2 linked regions of the Canis lupus familiaris genome follow. The protein of the gene in region 2 interacts with the protein of the main gene of each other region in a biochemical or structural test. Links are inferred from orthologs where the notes say so. Each region holds a gene or a part of one and is shown on either strand. Other genes may lie near its edges.

Evidence for each region.
Region 1: the proteins of VLDLR (region 2) and DAB1 form a complex in vitro, tested with the Homo sapiens proteins (2 studies listed by BioGRID). The link is inferred for Canis lupus familiaris from reciprocal best matches to the Homo sapiens genes VLDLR and DAB1.

What each region holds. Positions count from the first base shown.
Region 1 is NC_049226.1:51,837,851-51,844,370, forward strand, and holds the start of DAB1 (disabled homolog 1), read left to right. Parts: upstream 1-2,955; 5' UTR 2,956-3,092; intron 3,093-6,520. UniProt on the Homo sapiens protein: Signaling adapter of the reelin-mediated signaling pathway, which regulates the migration and differentiation of postmitotic neurons during brain development.
Region 2 is NC_049222.1:91,939,398-91,945,478, forward strand, and holds part of VLDLR (very low-density lipoprotein receptor precursor), read left to right. Parts: intron 1-800; coding exon 801-1,172; intron 1,173-1,270; coding exon 1,271-1,393; intron 1,394-1,480; coding exon 1,481-1,603; intron 1,604-2,061; coding exon 2,062-2,181; intron 2,182-2,329; coding exon 2,330-2,455; intron 2,456-3,488; coding exon 3,489-3,660; intron 3,661-4,259; coding exon 4,260-4,478; intron 4,479-5,354; coding exon 5,355-5,473; intron 5,474-6,013; coding exon 6,014-6,081. UniProt on the Homo sapiens protein: Multifunctional cell surface receptor that binds VLDL and transports it into cells by endocytosis and therefore plays an important role in energy metabolism.

The DNA of each region.
Region 1 (6,520 bases), on a different chromosome or scaffold from region 2:
ACAAGCCTTTCCCTTCTATTGGACATGAACTCCCTAGGGAAGAGGACTCAGCCTCTTTATTACTATGCTCATTAAGTACTTGGCACATGGTTGGCATTCAGTAAATGTTTCTTGGGTAGGTGAGTAAAGAAGACCCCACTTTTTGAGACTCATGGAGCACTATGATATTGATTTTGGTGGTAAAACTTATTTCTAGCTTGCATTGCATCTTCTTGCCTAGATTGTAACTCTGTTGTACTTGGGCAATGGACAACCCTGATGAATTCTTTACATTTCTTGGCTTAGGACTACAGATGTACCCTACATTGGTTCAGCACTGTTGATACACTACAATTAACAGTATTTCCTGTGAGGTACTGTTGTAGTTGTGCATATGACTGGTCCATCTATTCAATCGTATCTTTTTTCAAAGGCAGGAGCTGTCTTGTTCATTTGTCTCTCAGTCTCTCTGCATATATTAATGACATTACAGAAAAAGCATGAGTTAGTATTGGTAGAAGTCTAGGGGCCTGGGCACTCCATGCATATACCCTTTTGTAAAGAGACGTTTTCCCTTTGGTCTGGTAACTGTGCCTAAATTATTTGAAGCCTATAGGACCTATCCTATAATAAAGTGATATAACTTTTTCATAGCCCAGTGATTTGGATTTAGGTGCAAATGATATGCATGAATGATAAAGCATGATTGATTTTCAGTGATATAGCTAGAGAAGATTGGAGGAAGACTTGTCCTGTGAGACCCAACACATGTATATCTGGGTCCTCCCCATAGGAACTGTAATTCCACCCAAGTTAGCCCTATGAAAGTTTGCCATTTGAATATCAACTGCTTGGAGAGGTTTTCTCTGAATGCCCCATATACCTAGCTTTCACCATCACTCTCCATCCTTAACCTGCTCCATTTTTATTTATTCCACTTAATAAAGTAGAATACCACCCCCTTCTCTGTTATATTATTTTTTTACTTATTATCTATCTCTCTCATTAGAACATCAGCCTAATGAGGGCAGGATCTGCCTCTATTTTGGACCCTGCTGTGTATCCTGACCTCCTTTAATAGTGCTAGGTACAAGGTAGAAGTCTTCAGAATGTTGTTTTATCCAGAGTGGCCTGAAGTCACAGGGAACTACCCTTCTTTGCTCTTTAATCTGCTGGTAGAACCACATCTTTTCCCTTCCAGAGCCTTTCAGAGACCACAGATGACTCCTATCACCACTCCTGTACCCATGACCCTACCTGCTACTGCACCAGCCTGGGACAGAGGGAACTATGACAATAACTATGCTTCAGACCTCACACTCCTGTTTCTATGGCCACTGGATGTCATGGAGGCTGCAAGTGGCAATTAAGCTTAGTTTTGTCCATTCATAATTGGAAGGCCTATTTCTCCGTGGAAGAACTCCTTCAGATAAAAAAAGAACCTGTTTTTATGCCTCCTTTCAGGACTAAGGAATGAATCTCTAAATAGTTTGAAAGAAATTCTTGAAACAGATTGAAATATCTTAGTGCGTAAAGACTTGCCTTCTATTCTTGACTCTTCCTCTACCAGCTGTATTTATGGACAAATGACCTCACCACCATCCCCTCCCCAAGCCCTCACCACCCTCAGCGGAGCAATAGAGATGGGAGAGACTTTCCTGTGTAGCTCACAGGAAGAATTAGTCTAAGTGCTGCTTGAAAGAATCAAGGTTAAAAAAAGAAAGAAAGAAAGAAAGAAAGAAAGAAAGAAAGAAAGAAAGAAAGAAAGAAAGAATCAAGGTTCTAATAATCACCCTCGAGATACAACACATTACAGAGCATATCAGCCAACACATGCCCTAAATTCAAACCAGTTTTCTTCACTCCCTGCAGCTGCTGTCACATATGGTGGTGACCCATAGGGTCTGTCGTGTTGCTGCTACTGATGATGACGATAATGATGATGATCTCTTTTGACTCATTTTTCAGGTGAGATTAACACTATTGAATACTTCCTCTGAGACAGACATTGTGTTAGGCACTCAGCAGGCCTATTCACATTTTCTTCAAACAATTAGTGTGTCAAAAAATAGGGGTGTCTGGGTGCCTCAGTTAAACATCCAACTCTTGATTTCGGCTCAGGTCATAATCTCAGGGTTGTGAGACTGAGCCCAGTGTCAGGCTCTGCATTGGGCCTGAAGCCTGTTTAAGATTCTTTTTCTTCCTCTGTCCCTTCCACTCCCCTTCCCCCCACTGGCATGCGTGCTCTTCTCTCTCTCTCTCTCTCTAAAATAAATGAAGTGTGTTATAAAAATAGTAGAGTGCTTGAAGTACATGAATATTAAGTGTATAGCACAGTGAGTTTTCTGTGGATGCATATGCTCCTATAACCGGCATAGCAAAATAGACAATATTCCCAGCATCCCAACAGTCTCACTCATGGCCCTTCCCACTCAGCACCCCCAGAGGTCTCCACTATCCTGATCACCAGGTAGTTTTGCCTCTTCTTGAGCCTCATGTAAATGGAATTATACAGTCTTCTTTGTCTCTGGCTTCTTTTGGTCAACATGACAGTCTGAGATTCCTTCCATGTGTATGTATCATGGTTCATTCTTATCTGTTGACTGAATTCTTATCTGTTCACTGTTAGAGTGAGTCAGACACTGTCTGAAGTGTTTTACATGTATTATCTCACTTAATTCTTTATACTACCCTAAGGTAGGGACCATTATCTTTCTTTCACAGATATGGCTCTGAGAAGTTACATAACTTGCCTCAAGTCACAGAGCTATTAAGTGGTGGAGAGTCAGTTCTGGTTGCAGAGCTAGAGCTGCCTAGCAAGGGCCAGAACTTGACATGCTTTCAGAATTAGATTCAATCAGATTTGTTCCCAGTTTAAACTGAAGGTCATATGATTATTTTGTGGTTATTCACAAAGGGGTTTCTATGGGAACTTTCATTCCATCTGAATATTCCATCAGAACATTTTCACTCCCTTATTAATTGTCAGGGCTTCTCACTCATGCATTTACAGATTTGACTTGCTTGCCTGCCTGTGGCTGCCCTGCTTCAGGACCCAGACCACCTTCTTGGGACCTCTACGGGAGGCTGTTTTCTCCAGCATCACCTGCAAGGTTAAGCTGCTTAAGGATATCTTCTTCCTCCTTTCAGGGTGTGATCTTTGATGAAGGAATCAGAAGTACTGCCTTCTGGTTCTGTGGCTACCTTCCCAGTCTGAGCTTGTAGGGGTTTCTAAGGAAACAAAGCTGAAGTAGATTTTTCTCTCCATCCTGGTATAGCCAGACTTGCAGTCCTCCCACCCTTGAATCTCACCCTATCCCCCTGGTGATGGATGGTCCTCATCTAGGGTGAGCTTGGGGGGTGGACAGCCTTTGACAGAGCACAGGGGTCTGTGAGACAGGGACCAAATTGCTGCTTTGGACAGCCCAGGCCTGGCCCCTGGAGCTCACAGGGGTTGCCTATAAACTCATGCGACTTTTCTCTTTTATAAATTCATCCTCTGAACTCATATCTCTGCTCTGTATAGCTTTCCTTCTAAACACAGTATTCACGCCTTTTCCCCCAGGCTCTGAACTAATCCATTACATTTGGCTAAGACATAGACAATAGGTAAATGCCCCCTTGCAGGCTAGAGAATTAAATAGATAATCTGAGCTCCGTTTGGGTCTGTGGCTCAGTGCATGGGGTAATTGGTAAGAGGCTTTGGCTTTCCTTCCTCCATGCAAATGAAGAGAGTAAGTAAAAGCAAAAAAGAGATGGAGATGGAACCTTTCTGAATGCTGGCATTCGAGTCACTATGATAATCAGAATACACAGCTTTCCATTTAACCCTTTGTGAGCCATTGTCCCTTAGCAACTTCTCTTAATCAGTGGAGAGAAACTAGCATTTGCACTGATGGTGCAATGGACTCCTTACCCAGTGTGAGTTCCTTGCATGGTAAACTGTTCCTTGTTCATCACTATCCTCAGTGCCTACAGATGTTAGCTCAGAGTGGACATTTAATAAATATTTCTCAAATGTTCGCATCCTTGGCAGCGTAAAAGTGATTTGTGTTGGGAGCTATACAATGCAGTAGAAAGATCCAGGGTAAATAGATGATGTGCAAACCATTAGCCCTGGCGATTTGAAGGCTCTGCTGGATTTGGTTTTGGATTCCAGCAACTCAGAGTTCACACATATGGTCCAGATGACTGTGTTCTGGGTTGTTGCCTACCCCCTCTTTCCTCAAGCCATTCATTCTCTATCCTGGGACACCTCAATTTTAAGTTGCCTCTTTTTTTTTTTTTTTAACAAAGCACTCAGTTAAGGGGAGTGCTGGTGCCTGTGTCCATGGCTTCTTGGGGCCAGCCACCCAAATACAGTAGCTGGAGCCAAATGAACCCACAGAGGAGGAAGCCACAGATCTTCACAAAGACTGGCCCTGCTGTCAATTGCCATTTCCTCGCGCTGGCCTCAGCATGGCCTCGGAGAGCACAATATACACAAAATTATAATGTTATCACACAGGCTGGTGCCCACGGCGAGGACAGCCACTTAGGAAGGCGCACACCAGGGGCAGGAAGGCACAAAGGCCATTCGGAGGCTGAAGTCAGATGTATTTATATTTTTAGCAGAGGGGGGCTGAAATACAATTTCAATGAAGATTGCATTATGGATTATTACTTGAGAAAGCTTTGGCAAAGGACTAAGGAGAGTCTTTCTTTTCCAAAGGGGGCTTTTTCCTCCACAGGGGTTAAGGGAGATGGGAGGAAAGAGAAAACTGCTGCTTCTATTTTCCGAAGCTGACTCGGGGTTGCTGTAGTGATAATGTGTGACAGTTTCCTAAGCAAATTTCCATGTGATGTGTGTGTTTGCGTGTGTGTGTGTGTGTGTGTTTGTATTTTATTTGAACAACTCAGGCCCCGTTTGGTAGACAGAACAGATGCTGTTACTACCATTTTACACAGTGGAGACCAAAACTCAAGAAAATGGTGTGCTCACATAATTAGCTAGACCATTATAAAGTCCAACTTTCTTCATATAACTTACAGGGTTTATAAGCAACAGTCATTGATCCAGCTCTTACATGTCACTCTTCCCACTACATTGCCCTCATAGCCAAACCCCTTCCATGGTCAGCTTGCAGGCCTTTAATGTTTCATCTTGCACTTTGCACATGCTTTTCCTTCCTGTCCAGCCTGCCCTCTCCTTCCTCTGTTTCCTCCTTCTCCTTTGGATGTCACCAGAGAAAGGCTTCCCTGACCTCTCAGGACTGGGTTCCCTACCCTGTCTGTATGAGACCATGCAGCCTGAGTTCATCCATAAACTCTTCCATGTTTCTCACTGGATTATAGTTCTCTCCTGAAAAACTAACACCCTGAATTGCTCCATTGATTCTACAAGTGAGTGGGAACAAAATGTATGGGAGGAAAAGGTAAAGGGTTTAGCACACCATAGGAGCCTGGCTGCACTTGAAACACACCCAGATTGGGAAGGGCTAAGTGACACAGTAAATCAGCTGCCTCAGAGCAACTCAAGCACAAATCACCTTTCTGGGGTTCTAATTTCACTCTTCCACTTAAGGTACCACTTGGGACAAATCACTTCACCTTGCTTGAGCTTTAGTTTTCTCATCCAAAAATAGGTAAGCAGGTGGCAGCTGAAGTAAAATAAAAGTGGTAAAGTATACCATAAGGTAGAACTAGCACTAAATAAATCTTTATTAATATTGTGCAAAAAAAAATATTGTGCAAACATCTCCATGATACTGTTGATGAGTGAAAGTCACATGATCTCATTTGTGTAAAAAAAAACAGTTATGAGACAAAAGGACTGTAACACCTTTGACACACTCTGAGAACTGAATTTCAGGAGGTACTCTATTCCTTATAAGACAACAGACAAAAGCAAAGAAAAATACCAACTTCATGGATACAAAAAATTTCACTGTCAGGAGACATTGTGCTCATTCTCATACAGCTTGAAAGTCTTTCATCTAGAAGTCATTCACTGAATAAATGTTTGCTCACTCTCTGCTGAGCACCTACAATGTGCTAGGCATTGCTGTCATGCCACTCCTATATCTGCCGTCATGGCTTTGCTTGCTCTGAGAACCTGGGCCAAAATGCTTGTGCCAGTTATTAACTTATTGGCTTTCGGCTACATACCCATCTTTCTGTACTTGGCTTTGTGATGCTGGGCCTGGGACAAATCCGGATTTCTGCTCCACCTGCTGGCTCCCTCTTAGGCTCTGCCAATAGGGAGCGCTAGAGGAAGATGCCATGGCTGGATGGGGGAAGATGAGATTTAATTCCATGCTTGCTTCTTGTTCCTCTTCCTGTTAACCTACAATGGTTTCTCAAGTTCGGCACTATGGACATTTCAAACTTGGTAATTCTTTGTTGAGGACGTGCTCAACCCTGCAGAATATTTAGCGGCACCCTTCTACTCCACCTACTAAATTCCAGTAGCAATCCCCCCACAAGTGGTGACTATAAAGCATACCTCCAGGCATTGAACAATGATGCTCAGAAGGCAAAAATCACCCTTGCTTTAGAGCCG
Region 2 (6,081 bases):
TTTCGGTGTTCAGTCTTAGAATTGAGCTTTATGTATTGGTAAGCCCTGGGGCTGCCAAGTGTTTCCCTTTTAAATCTTGCTTCCCAAGAGAGTCGTGGTCTCTACCCTAATTACCACCAAATTGTGACCTTGATTCATTCGGCAGGAATTTGAGTCAGAGTACAAACTGGCTAGTCTGCCTCGCTGAGCAGCAGCAGCAGCATACCAGAGGACTAGACCTGAGATTCTAGCCCTAGCAGTGACTTTCTAACACTTGAAAATATTTAGGACCCATTATCCCTGATCCTCATTTGAAGGACCGACAGAGAAGGAACCAGTAGGGTAGCATAACATGATGGCTTCTTCTTAGTCACAGTGTCATAATGCTTTGTTATGAGACTCTGATTGCCTGTATACCTGATACGTGGTAGTCTCAGCAGATGATCTGAACTGATTAGATGTCCATTTAGAGATAGCTCAGTCTTTGCCGTTCAAAACGAAATCCCCCGGTCAGGTTTAAGTTATTCACTGCTGTCCCTTTAGGAATCTGGTGTGGTTCTCCTCTCCAATTAACTTCTAGTCTTCAGCTCTTTTTTTGGTCCTTTATTTCTCTTCTTACTCAAGTGTCCCTGCATCTTGCACACTGAGACTGCTTACTAGTCCTCCAGGAACTTGGATATTGGTGGAATGACTTGGCTTTTAAGCGAAGCTGGAAAGCTAGGGCCGGTGGTTGGAGATCCCGCATGTCATGCTGTGAGACGAGAGCCTGGAAGGCATGCCGGTCCCGCAGGCTCTCAGTGTGGCCTGCTCTCTCCCCGCAGGCAACATCACATGCAGCCCGGACGAGTTCACCTGCTCCAGCGGCCGTTGCATCTCCAGGAACTTCGTCTGCAATGGCCAGGACGACTGCAGTGACGGCAGCGACGAGCTGGACTGCGCGCCCCCCACGTGCGGCGAGCATGAGTTCCAGTGCAGCACCTCTTCCTGCATCCCCCTGAGCTGGGTATGCGACGATGACGCCGACTGCTCCGACCAGTCAGATGAGTCCCTGGAGCAGTGTGGCCGCCAGCCCGTGATGCACACCAAGTGCCCAGCCAGCGAGACCCAGTGCGGCTCAGGCGAGTGCATCCACAAGAAGTGGCGCTGCGATGGGGACCCCGACTGCAAAGACGGCAGCGACGAGGTCAACTGTCGTAAGTAGCCACCTTATCAGTCCCACCTGCTCTGTGCCCCCCTCTCAGGGTCTGCCTGGATGGCTTGGCTGACCCTTCCCGCCCCACCGCCTCTGCAGCTTCGAGAACCTGCCGGCCTGACCAGTTTGAGTGTGAGGACGGGAGCTGCATCCATGGCAGCAGGCAGTGCAACGGTATCAGGGACTGTGTGGACGGCTCGGATGAAGTCAACTGCAAGAACGGTGAGGGGCTCCTCCTGGGGGTCAGTCAGAGGACTGCTCTGAGCAACCCCACCAAATGGAATCTTGCTTTTGTGTTTCTCGTTGTAGTCAATCAGTGCTTGGGCCCTGGAAAGTTCAAGTGCAGAAGTGGGGAGTGCATAGATATCGGTAAAGTATGTAACCAGGAGCAGGACTGCAGGGACTGGAGTGACGAACCCCTGAAAGAATGTCGTAAGTGGAGGGGTTGCCTGAGCACAGTTGGGAAGGTTCATGACATCACCCCTAGCTAATGCTGGGTGGACCCTGCACAGGGCCTGCTTACACCACTTTTAAGGAACCTAGTCCAGTTGTTGGGCTTCAGGGTGGCATTTTTTTATGCCTTAAAAGCAAAAGCAGTGACAGACTTGTTCATAGTTTTAAATTCCTTAAAGATAACTCATCAGCAATGGAGATACTTGGCTAAGTACTACGTAGCCAGCTGGTAACCTGCCAAGGAGATTGGGTTTCCTATTCCCCAAACCCTCTGAGATGCAGATCTTGAAGACAAATTTTTGGACCTTAGGAAAATCATGGGTTTGACCAGACTAATTAGATAAGCGATTGCAAAAATCCGGGAGTGTAAATGTTAATCAGAGCACATATCAATTTGGAGTAAAGTGTGGGGTAACTCTGGTCCCTTTTTATTTCAGACGTAAATGAATGCTTGGTTAATAATGGTGGCTGTTCGCACATCTGCAAAGACCTAGTTATAGGCTATGAATGTGACTGCGCAGCTGGGTTTGAACTGATAGATAAGAAAATTTGTGGAGGTGAGTCCAGGAGGGAGCCTCAGCCCTAGTGCAGGGCGGGTGGGAGGAGGCTGTTGGGGGTAGGGGTAGTAGAGGAGGAGATGGGAAAGGACAGCATCTCACTATAGGTCATGTAGGAGCAGAAGACTAATGTTCATTTCCCTCCTAGATATTGACGAATGCCAAAATCCAGGAATCTGCAGCCAAATTTGTATCAACTTAAAAGGCGGTTACAAGTGTGAATGTAGTCGGGGCTATCAGATGGATCTTGCCACCGGCGTGTGCAAGGCAGTAGGTAAATGGACTTGGACTGGTGTTGCTACCTTTATGAGTAACCGCTTGCACCAAGGGTACAGCCAGTGATTCCCAAGAATCAACTAAATATGGAATTAAAATAGTATACAGCCCTTCCTTGACTTATGATAGAGTCTTACTCCAATAAACCCATTGTAAGTTGAAAATATCCTAAGTCAAAAATGAATTTAATATACCTAACCAAATAAATATATATATACCTAACCTACCAAATATCGTGGCTTAGCCACACCTGCCTTAAATGTGTTCAGAACTCTGAAGTCAGCTTATGGGGGGGGCAACATCTTCTAACACAAAGCCCCTAAAATACTGAATGTCTCATGTAATGTATCGAGTACTATACTGAAAGTCAAAAGCAGAATTCTTGCAGGGGTGCAGGTAGATGTCAGTGCATTAGATGTTCACACCCTCGTGATCCTGGGGCTGGTGGGGAGCTGCGGCTCACTGCCACTGCCCAGCATCATGAGAGAACATCATAAGAGAGGACGGTCGCACGTATCACTGGCCTGGGCAAAGATCCCAACTCTAAACTCGAAGTGTGGTTTCTACTGAATCCAAACCACTTTTGTACCATTGTAAAGTTGAAAAATCCTAACTGGAACCATCCTAAGCCGGGGACTGTCTGTACTCCGAGCAATGCTACTTATTCACAGTGCCGTATCCTACGTTAAACAAAAGATCCTTTCCCCGGACACCTGCTTTGGTCAGCTTCTTTTGCATGTGATACCATGAATACCTACCAGGTTTGCTTACTTTCTGCTTCCCAAAGTTGAGTGCAATCTGTGAGTAACGTGCCAGCCACCCTCCTGTTGAATGCCGTGACCCCAGGACTGCCTCCTTGAACAGCGCAAAGTGCTTGCAGTTTCCTGGGGGCACGGACTGCTGCCAGCACACTCGTCAGGTGTTTCAGCGGTGCCTTTACTTTATAGATGCTCCTCCTTTGGGAGAAGGTGACTCGGAAGGACCTTGCCTTCTCACAGCGAAACTTAGTAAACCTGACTCTTGTCTTGTAGGCAAAGAGCCAAGTCTGATCTTCACAAATCGAAGAGACATCCGGAAGATTGGCTTGGAGAGGAAAGAATATATTCAACTAGTTGAACAGCTAAGAAACACTGTAGCTCTTGATGCAGACATTGCAGCTCAGAAACTGTTCTGGGCTGATCTGAGCCAAAAGGCCATCTTCAGGTAACTTGAGTTCTCTGCTTAAGTGCTTCAGCCTAAGTCTTTGACATGTGGTCTTTGGGAAGGTTTGGAGGAATTTCTAGCTCCACTCTAGCATCTAATTAGCTGGGACTCTTATGTCTGGACACTGATTGATTCTTCAACTATTAAGTTACCATTAGTTCCTCATTAGAAACTAACCATCACGTATGAAGTAAAAGGTGGCTGTAGCTATAGGATTATAAACAAAGGACATCTTCACTTCTCCTCTTGTCACCCCTTACTCTCTAATTAATGGATACCTTTTTCATAGTTGCTACCAATAGAAATGGTAGTGGCAGCTTTTTCCTAAGGGGAACTCTAGAAATTCAGATGGTAGCCACTGCACCAAACAGCTTTGCTTAGAAATGTGTCATTCTTGAATATCAAGGTGTACCAGCAGCTACATAACAGTATTATTTAGCATCGGTAAGAAGCACAGTTAAATAATTGGAGTGGTGAGCGATGGTGTTACCAGAATTTCTTCTGAACAAAGTTGTGGATCATTTTGTAAGCAGGAAGCCCATTCTCCAGGCTCTGGTGGTATCAAACTCCTAAATTTCTTGTGACCTATTCTGTTTCAGTGCCTCAATTGATGACAAGGTTGGTAGACATGTTAAAATGATCGACAATGTCTATAATCCTGCAGCCATTGCTGTTGATTGGGTGTACAAGACCATCTACTGGACTGATGTGGCTTCTAAGACTATTTCAGTAGCTACCCTAGATGGGACCAGAAGGAAGTTCCTGTTTAACTCTGACTTGCGGGAGCCTGCCTCCATAGCTGTGGATCCACTCTCTGGGTTTGTAGTCTGTTTTTCTAGCCTTTTGGATGCTATCTGTATGCCAGGAGCTTTCCTTCTGGCCGGAATAATATTGAAACCCCAGGACACACAGCTCCCCCACAACAAAGCAACATCCTGTTTAAGATGTCATTGGTGCCACAGTGAAGCAAGTGTGCTGCCTTATCGGCCCTCTCTGGCAGTATGACCGCCGGGTGACATGAAGGAAACATATTTGATGCACACCAAAAGCTGTATCTTAACCCTGATGGCCGCCCAGCTTCTATGCTGGGTGATTTTCTATTTTAGTCTGAATGCTTTGTCAGGTTAGCTCCAGGTGATCGAACCTAAGTATTAGCACTTGTTGTGAGGATTTTGGTAACCATGTTATTACTTCAAGGCTTTTGTCTAAATGTCCAAGTTGTGTGAAAGTCTACATGAAATAAATGGCTCTCTCCAGCAACATTTGACATGTTTCCCTAAATTGGTGCTAAGTAATATAGGAAAGCAGCTTAGCAAGTTACTAAAGCTGTGGTAATGACCCCTGGCCCCCGTAAATCCTCGCTAGAATGGTCAGCCAGCCCCTCTGATAGAACCTAACACATATTCACCTTTCAGTTCTCTGAAAGAATTGGCCTTTTGTAAAGAAGTCTATAACCTGTGACTTGGGCTTGAAATATAATTATCACACTTAGATAGATTAATATAGCTCATAATGAGCTTGTATATTCTTAGTGTTAACTTCTGTTTACTCAGGACATAATTTGGACCTGTTCCTGTTACTGTTGGTCTCTAGACTTTTGTAGTCATTCTTTAAATGTGTGTCTCAAATTACACATTTATCCCTTCTAAACCACTGAGGCTTTTTTTTTTTTTTTTTCATTTAATTCTTCCCAGGTTTGTGTACTGGTCAGACTGGGGAGAACCAGCTAAAATAGAAAAAGCAGGAATGAATGGATTTGATAGGCGGCCACTTGTGACAGTGGACATCCAATGGCCTAATGGAATTACACTTGGTATGTCTGTCCTTCCTTCCTTGGCCACCAACTCAATGGTCTCTGCTGCTTTCGCTTCCCTCCATAGTTTATTCTGGACTACAGCAGACAGCTCCCATGGTTCCTTTAGTAGCAAGAATTTTGGATGAGAGTAACTGACCAATGCAAGTCGAGTACTGGCCTTAACGAATTACATGCTCCATCATTACTAGCTTTTTGGTCCATATGGACCTAATATGTGACATGAATTCAGTGCATCTTGGGCCTTGGCAACTCTCATCCATCAGGGGAGAGCAATATGCTAGCTTCCTTTAACACTTCTATAATGTGAGTACCATTTCTTAAGTCAGCTCCTTTGAAAATCTTAGCTGCTCCTTGAATCCCCCAGAATGAGTGTGGGTACAGATTCTGCATGCTGCCTCTCCAGGTTTCTGGGACCCCATTTGGAACCCATGCTGGAGAAGGAACCATGAGATTAGAATATTGGATTCTCTGGGTATTTTCAATGGAAGCCAGGGTGGTGATGGCCTATCATGCACTGACAATTCTTTCCCTCTCTAGACCTTATAAAGAGTCGCCTCTACTGGCTTGACTCCAAGTTGCACATGTTGTCCAGCGTGGACTTAAAT